Linked DNA regions of Oryctolagus cuniculus. Each later gene encodes a partner of the first gene's protein in a complex. Links are inferred from orthologs where the notes say so. Each region holds a gene or a part of one and is shown in the gene's direction. Other genes may lie near its edges.

What was found. Proteins that work in one complex are often made in the same cells at the same time.
Region 2: the proteins of ITGB1 (region 1) and FERMT2 are in contact, whole or in part, in a crystal structure (PDB 8TEE), measured with the Mus musculus proteins. The link is inferred for Oryctolagus cuniculus from reciprocal best matches to the Homo sapiens genes ITGB1 and FERMT2. Residues at the interface, in NP_034708.1 of Mus musculus: Ala786, Val787, Thr788, Thr789, Val790, Val791, Asn792, Pro793, Tyr795, Glu796, Gly797; in NP_666166.2 of Mus musculus: Phe609, Ser610, Asn611, Met612, Lys613, Gln614, Trp615, Asn616, Val617, Asn618, Trp619, Glu620, Ala629, Asp630, His647, Ile654, Ser657, Thr658, Lys674, Leu675, Ser677, Gly678.

What each region holds. Positions count from the first base shown.
Region 1 is NC_091444.1:108,918,883-108,922,382, forward strand, and holds part of ITGB1 (integrin beta-1), read left to right. Parts: intron 1-251; coding exon 252-474; intron 475-2,272; coding exon 2,273-2,443; intron 2,444-3,500.
Region 2 is NC_091443.1:23,418,985-23,423,284, forward strand, and holds the start of FERMT2 (fermitin family homolog 2), read left to right. Parts: upstream 1-1,500; 5' UTR 1,501-1,793; intron 1,794-2,170; 5' UTR 2,171-2,179; coding exon 2,180-2,336; intron 2,337-4,300. UniProt on the Homo sapiens protein: Scaffolding protein that enhances integrin activation mediated by TLN1 and/or TLN2, but activates integrins only weakly by itself. Binds to membranes enriched in phosphoinositides.

The sequences.
Region 1 (3,500 bases):
GTAGCTGTTGATCCCACTGAATATGTGATTTCACCAAGAAATTCGTCTTCGGAATCAAAGAGTGAGACATTTAAAATGAACACTTAGTAAGTCAGTCCTGGGAAAGGTATGAGTTTTTCAGGAATGATTTTGTTGTTAAACAAGAGTGCTTTCTATGATTTGGATGAAGGGAGCATTTTGTTTAAAAGGTAGAAATGAGCTATATTATATGCCCCTCTTTGTACTCTGACTTGTGTTTTAATGTCGTTTAGACGTTTTTGCAAGAAGGAATGCCTACTTCTGCACGATGTGATGACTTAGAAGCCTTGAAAAAGAAAGGCTGCCATCCAGACGACATAGAGAATCCCAGAGGTTCCAGAGACATAAAGAAAAATAAGAATGTCACCAACCGTAGCAAAGGCACAGCAGAGAAGCTGCAGCCGGAGGATATCACTCAGATCCAGCCCCAGCAGCTGGTTCTGCAGCTGCGATCAGGTGCGGGCCCAGCCATCTGCCCCTGAAGTGCCGTCCTCACAGGCAGGCCCCCAGTCCAGCTGACGCTGGCCAGCTTTACAGAGTTTTCTGAAAACACACAGCTTGTGAAATGCATATTCCTGGAGTAATGTTAAATGTTGCCATCGTCAGAAGTAAAATCTGCTAATGATTCGGCAAGTGTGAATTAGACTTAATGGGCTTTACAAGTATTGTCCATTTTCTGATTTGATTACATTATATAAAGGCAACCTTTTTTATTTATTTATTTATTTTTTAACTTTTATTTAGTAGATGTAAATTTCCAAAGTACAGTTTATGGATTACAATGGCTTTTCCCTCCCATAACTTCCCACCCACCCATAACCCTCCCATCTCCTGCTCCCTCTCCCGTTCCATTCACATCAAGATTCATTTTCGATTATCATAAAGGCAACATTGTAATGTTTCCTTTCTTGTGCAGTATTTTAAAATTATTCTTGGTCAGTGTCTGTGGCAGTGTGTGACCCACTCCTGTGCTGTGTCAGGAGGTGGTGGTGCTCGGTCCCCCTCACCCTGGCCCCTGCGCTCACACTGAGCCTGGTGCAGTCCACCTGCTGCTGAGTCCACTGTAGCACAGCCGCTGCACTGGGCTGACACCACAGCTCGTGCGCCTGCTGGTCTGTTCTGACCCTCCTGCACCCAGGATGGTGCTCCTGGCTTCTCTGAGCTTTCACTGTTGGTTTCTAGGCTTTTGTGTCTCTTCCTGTCCCCATCTCTGTGGTCCACTTTACAACTTGGCTTTCCTGTCATGATTTAAAAGCTGCAGCAACACAAACTTTTCTGTTGAGCTCCAAACAGTTCCTCTGACCTGTCTCCCAGAACTGTCTGTAGACAGGATTTTTAACCATGTTTCACCTGAACCTCTCATTCTCCTGTGTTTCGTGACTGAAGTATGCCGACAACTCTGTCTCCAGTTCTCTATCCTCACTGTTTCAATTCAGATCTTCATCACCTCCCCTTGAATTTTCCATCATTCCTTAACTGGTCTTTGACTCTATAATCCAATTGTAAAACTTTACCCAGATTTTCTAAAGCAGAAATCGTATTCTGTGATTTTCTTTCATGTGGTGGCTTCCTGTGACCAAGACCTGAGTTCCTTTAGAATGCCAGTCTCTAGAATGAGAGTCAGCCCTGTGACCTATCCAGCCCAAGACCGTTGAAAAATGGATGATTTAGACATAGATTACCTAGTGTAGGTTGGGCATGTTGCCTTTTTATTTTTTTAATTTTTTTTTTTTTATTTTTTGACAGGCAGAGTGGACAGTGAGAGAGAGAGACAGAGAGAAAGGTCTTCCTTTTCCGTTGGTTCACCCCCCTAATGGCCGCTACTGCCAGCACTGCGCCGATCCGAAGGCAGGAGCCAGGTGCTTCTCCTGGTCTCCCATGGGGTGCAGGGCCCAAGCACTTGGCCCATCCTCCACTGCCTTCCTGGGCCACAGCAGAGAGCTGGCCTGGAAGAGGGGCAACCGGGACAGAATCCGGTGCCCCGACCGGGACTAGAACCCGGTGTGCCGGCGCCGCAGGTGGAGGATTAGCCTATTGAGCCGTGGTGCTGGCCGGCATGTTGTCTTTTTCACCCCGAGGTCTGGAGTGTCAAGTATTGGTTGAATGAAATTGAGTATAGACCCAGTGAGTTTTGTTAAGTTTATGACAGTGCATTTCATCTTGCATTGTTGGCCCTGTAAATCAGATCCATTTGGTTTTCTCACTTGTTCTTGGTTCTTGGCTTGCTAACATCTTTTCTGACCCGTTTGGCTAGGGGAGCCCCAGACGTTCACGTTGAAGTTCAAGCGTGCTGAAGACTACCCCATCGACCTCTACTACCTCATGGACCTCTCCTACTCCATGAAAGATGATCTGGAGAACGTCAAGAGTCTCGGGACGGATCTGATGAATGAGATGAGGAGGGTGACTTCAGACTTCCGAATTGGTAGGAATGTTGGGAAAATTAGTAGTTTTCCTTCTTTGTTCTCCAGGCCAGTTTTTAGCTCTTCCCTTCTGAGAGGAAACATCATCTGTGTAACAGGCGCTCTGCCTCTGGGCTCCTGTATCCCTGTGTGCTCAGCACAGATGAAGAAGTCGTGCCTGTCCTCACAGTTCACCCACTCATGTCCACCCGCGGGTACGGCCTTGTCTCACTCAGACCCAGTTTGCCATGCTGTGATGTTCTGCTTTCCACCCTTCCTTTCCTGTCCTGTGCATCTCCAGGCTTGCCTGCTCGTCGCCGGCTGTCTCCTGCTCCTGCCGCACCCAAGGTGTTGCAGCAGAGTGCTGGAGAAACTGGACAGCCTCCTTGTGGCCAAAAAGCTGCCTTTTAAAAATTAACTCTGTTTTAGAAGAAACCTTGAAAAACTTAAAGTGCCATTGTATTCAGTAGGCACAGTTCAGGGACCATGGAAATAGTAAGTTCTTAAGCAAGGTAGTCTTTTTGAAGTGGTCAGAATTCCAGAACATTCATTTATTCATCCATCCATCCAACGTGGCACTGTGGAGAACTGAGGATACTAAGAAAGTCAGTGTTCATTATTTTTATTTTATTTTTCTAAAGATTTAATTTATTTGAAAGGCAGAGTTAGAGATAGATACATACATACATAGAGAGAGGTCTTCTATCCACTGGTTCACTCCCCAGATGGCTGCACCAGCCACAGCTGGGCCAGACCAAAACCAGGAGCTTCCTCTGGGTCTCCCACATGGGTGCAGGGACACAAGCACTTGGGCATCTTCCACTGCTTTCCCAGGTACATTAGCAGGGAGGCTGCACTGGAAGTAGAGCAGCTGAGACTCCAACTGGTGCCCATGTAGAATGCTGGCACTGTGGGCGCAGCTTAACCTATTTAGCCCCAGTGCTGGCACCAATGCTCATTATTTTTAAAGTGGGTAGGCAGAAGATGGATGTACAGCTCAGTCCTGCTGGGCAGCTGGAACCAGACAGCTCACAAACCACAGGAATGCATCACTCACATTTCAGGAGGCCAAGCAGTCCA
Region 2 (4,300 bases), on another chromosome or scaffold:
TTTGTAGCAAATAAATAGCAGTACCAAGTGGGCTCAGCTTCTGAACAGTTTTGCTGTATTTCCCTGCTGCCTTTTTCTTTTGAATATATTTGCTCTCGATTTTACAGTCGCATGTAGTTTTTTTTTTTTTAAACCCTCGCAAGGCATTTTCTATTTTATTAAAAACATTTTCCTGTTTATTTTCAACAGCACAATTCACATAAACACTCCCTCCTTATCGCTTCCAAAGGAAGGATCTGGAACATCCTTCAGTAGAAATAACCGGGGAGTGCAGGGGCAGAGCCTGCAGGCATGTCTCTCCATGACGACGACGCTGTAACCCCACAGTGGTTCCCTCTACTTTTTGGTGACAAACCTCTGGCATCCGACTCAGCATCGCTGCGTTCACTCCTTTTTGGGTTCCAGTCCTTTCTCAAGGCTCTCACCTCCTGGCCCAGAGGTGTCGATGAACCAAAGTGTGTTTTGTTTTTGTCTGGCGGGTTTCCCTTCGAAGTGTTTGGAAAGCCATGAGGCTTTGCAAACCGGGAGCCTTCGTAGCGGATCTTACCCGAGGCTTCCTGACCTATATATTTTGAGCCGTGCACTGGCCAGCGAAGCGGTTTCCCTGGTTCGCTGTTTGTGCACAGAGTTCCCTCGGGATCGAGGTCGGCACAGGGGGCAGGGGGAGGCAGGGAGGCCGGAGGCCGGCGTTGCACCTTCCGTGCAGTCTTCCCTGGCCCTGCAGGAGCCACCGCAGGGCCTTCGCGGTGCGGTGCAGGACCCATCTTCGTAACAGGCGGCTGGTTCTCAAGCTGTCCAGATTCGCACCGGAGACTGGACAGGCCGGGGACACGCTTTGGCACCAAGGGTTTTCCCTGCCCTCAGCCCGAGCGAGGGGGCCCGCCCGCCACTCGCCCCGGGCTGCAGCTTCCCAATGGGTTAAGGCCTCGTGCAAACTCCCGGGGTCCCGTGGGAGTCGCTGACCGTGCCGGTCACCCATGGCACAGCGACGTTTGTGGCTCGCCTCCCCCACCCCGGGTTTTCTCCTCCTGTCGCGGCATGTTCGTGGAGCCGGCTTGGGCGCTCACTTTTTAAAGTTTTTACATCCCCAACTCGGCCCGCCGGCTCCAGGGAAGCGGCGCCCCTCACCGCCCCGGGACTCTGGGGCGCGTTCCAGGCCTGGGGAGGAAGCGGCAGGACTTTGTTCCCCGAAATCTGACGGCTCTGGGGATTCCCTGCGGCCACTTCGCCGCGCCGAGCCCCATCCTCCGGGCGGCCGCCGGCTCCCTCACGCCGCGGCCTCCGGCTGGCGGAGGAGCGGCCCGGACTCCCCCTCCTCAGGTCCCGCCGCCGAGAGCCCGGATGTTGGATTCCATCCCTGCGCCTGGTCCTTCATTTCCATAAAAGGGCAGCGCTCGGCGGGGCTGAGGTTGCCACCGCCGCCGCCGGCGCCCCCCGCCGCCCCCCGCCGCCCCGCCCCCAGCCCGGAGTCCGCGGCCCCCGCCCGGAGCGCAGCCGCGGGGAGGGCTGTGGAGGGGCCGAGGTCGGCCCCAGGCGCTCCGGGCCGCTCTGCGGGGCGGAGGAGGAGGAGGAGGAGGAGGAGGGAGCCGGCGAGCCCAGCCCGGACCGGACGGGCTGAGGGGGCGGGGAGAGAGGGGTGGAGCGCGCGGAGCCAGGCTGGGGGCCGCGGCGCCGGGACTCCATTAGCGGCTCCGGCCAGGAGGCAGAGCTGAGCCGGCTGCGGAGCGGGACGCGGACGCCGCCCCCGCGCCTGTTGCGGGCGAGCCCCGGGCCGGGTGCGCGAGGAGCGCGCGGTGAGGGGCCTGGACGGGGCTGCAATCTGCTGGGGAGCGCGGGTGGGGACGAAGACTGTGGAGCCCCCGGGCAGCGTCTCCCCGGGCCGGGCGCGGCCGGGCGCGGCCGGGCGGCAGGCAGGGGACGCCGCTGCGCTCCGCTAGGCGGGGGCGGCGTGGGGCGGGCGGGGCCGCGGCCGCTCGGGGCCGGGGCGGGAGCGCGGAGCGCCCAGTGCGGCTCCGCGGTGCTCCCGAGTTTGCGCGGGAGCCCCCCACCCCACCCCCAACACCGGGTCCTCCGGCTTCCCCAGCCCGGCGGCCGACGCCGCGAGCACGGTGGGCTTTGCCTTCGTTTGGGGGAGTGACGCTTACGAGAGCCATTTCCTCCGCGCGCGCAGGAAGGAGCCATGGCTCTGGACGGGATAAGGATGCCAGATGGCTGCTACGCGGACGGGACGTGGGAGCTGAGTGTGCATGTGACGGACCTGAACCGCGATGTCACCCTGAGAGTGACCGGAGAGGTGCACATCGGAGGGGTGATGCTGAAGTTGGTGGAAAAGCTGGGTGAGTAGCATCCCGGAGGCGTCCGGGAAGCGACTGGCGGGGTGGGGGAGGGGTGGGAGGGAGGCGGCGCGGGGGGGAGGGGCGGGTGTGGAAATCTTGGCGTCTCTTGGATACTTAAAAAAAAAAAAAAGTGAGATCTGTCAATATTTAAGCGAACCGACGCGGTTCCCTTGGCGTTTTGTTTGGCTAGCTCTGAATTTTCGGAATGTGGTGCTTGGAGCCCCTACTTAGAGACTTCATTGCGTAGTTGGGCTGGGGGCGGGGAGCTCCTTGATTCTTTGCATTCGCCGGCTTCACGTGGAAAGAAATGGGCAGGGTCTGCAGGGTGGCGGTGCGGGGCGTGTGGTTACCCATGTCTGGCGTGTTGGCGACGCTTGGCATCGGGAGTAACGCGAAATCCACGTTAGAAAGCCGCCCCCCACCCGGGGAGATAGGCGGGTGCTGGCGTCGCTGGGCAGTGGCGGTGGCCCGGCCGGCCGTGCGCCCCTGCGAGGGGTGGGCAGCGGCCGAGCGACTTGGAGTCCCCACCCGGTGCTCCAGCGCGGCTATTCGGAGCATTCGGTTTTACATTAACGAGCCAGTGGGAGAACCGTGTTCAGAAGCAGACGGGAAGGCTGCTTGGGGGTTGACAGTGTTCGCCCGAGTCCAGTCCCTACCGGGTGGCCCAGGTTGAAGGCAGGGTCTCTGACAGCATGAAACTGGAGGAGGTTTCCCAGTGCACGTTCTGTCTGCCATGAAGGAAACCGTTTTCCGCGGTAGCTAAACAGCTGGTGTTCAGAAGAGACTTCCCCAGTTTTCCATATCATGCACTTGTGGTCAGGTCTTTGTAGGTTGGGTTTTTCACTTTGAGGGTGTGTGTTTTTGTGTTTTTGGCTTTTTTTTTTTTTTCTAAACCACACTGCCAAAGTGGAGAAGCATTGATTAGGAAATGTGTTTCTTACCAAGGGAGCCTTGCGTCCCTACCATATAAACTTACTGCAGTAGCTCTCTGGGGCGCTGTGCCCAATACGGCAGGGTTCACAGGAGCACCCGCCTTGTGGCTTTGCAGAAGTTTCCTTATGCACAGACCCGAGAGAAGCACCTCACAAGGTTGCCTCTGTGCTGTTTACCTGCCTGAGACAGGGCCAGGACCTTCCCCCACCCCCAGCCCTTTGGCAGCTAGATTTTGCTGTATTGTTTGTTTAACCAGTCCGCTCTCTGTGGGTTAACAGTGTTTTTTGTATGATTTGAGTAAATCGATGACTCTTTGCAAAGTGTCCATGGATCAGTTCAGCACTGGTATGAGGGCTGAAATATCACCAAATATAATTGTCCGTGTGTCCTCTGTTTTCAAGGGAAAGAGCGTTTGTGTCAGAGCTTGCCTTGTTTGTGATAAGTGGACCTCACTAATAACGTGGGTTTCAATAGGCGGTTTCTTTCACGTTGCGTGGAAGGAGCTGTTGAAGGTGACTGAGGCAACCTGTAGTTCTCCAGAGCCAGGCTTTTTTTTTTTTTTTTTAATTTATTTTATTTATTTGAAAGGCAGAGTTACAGAGAGAGGGAGAGACAGACAGAGAGGTCTCCCATCCACTGGTTCACTCCCCAAATGGCTGCAACTGCCAGAGCTGGGCCAGGCCAGAGCCAGGAGCTTCATCCGGGTCCCTCATGTGGGTGCCAGGAGCTTCCTGGGTCTCCCATGTACGTGCAGGGGCCCAAGCACTTGGGCCATCTTCCACTGCTTTCCCAGGCACATTAGCAGGGAGCTGTATCGGAAGTAGAGCAGCCAGCACTTGAACTGCTTCCATAAGGGATGCTGGTTCTTCAGGCAGTGGCTTAACTTGCTGTGCTACAATGCAGGCCCAAAAGTCAGGCTTTAACTAATGAATAAATAATGGTCTTACTATATATGTATTGCATTGATTAGAATCGTCTATTACAGTCAGTCATAAATAGAACTATAGAGAATAAACTATTTGCCATCAGAA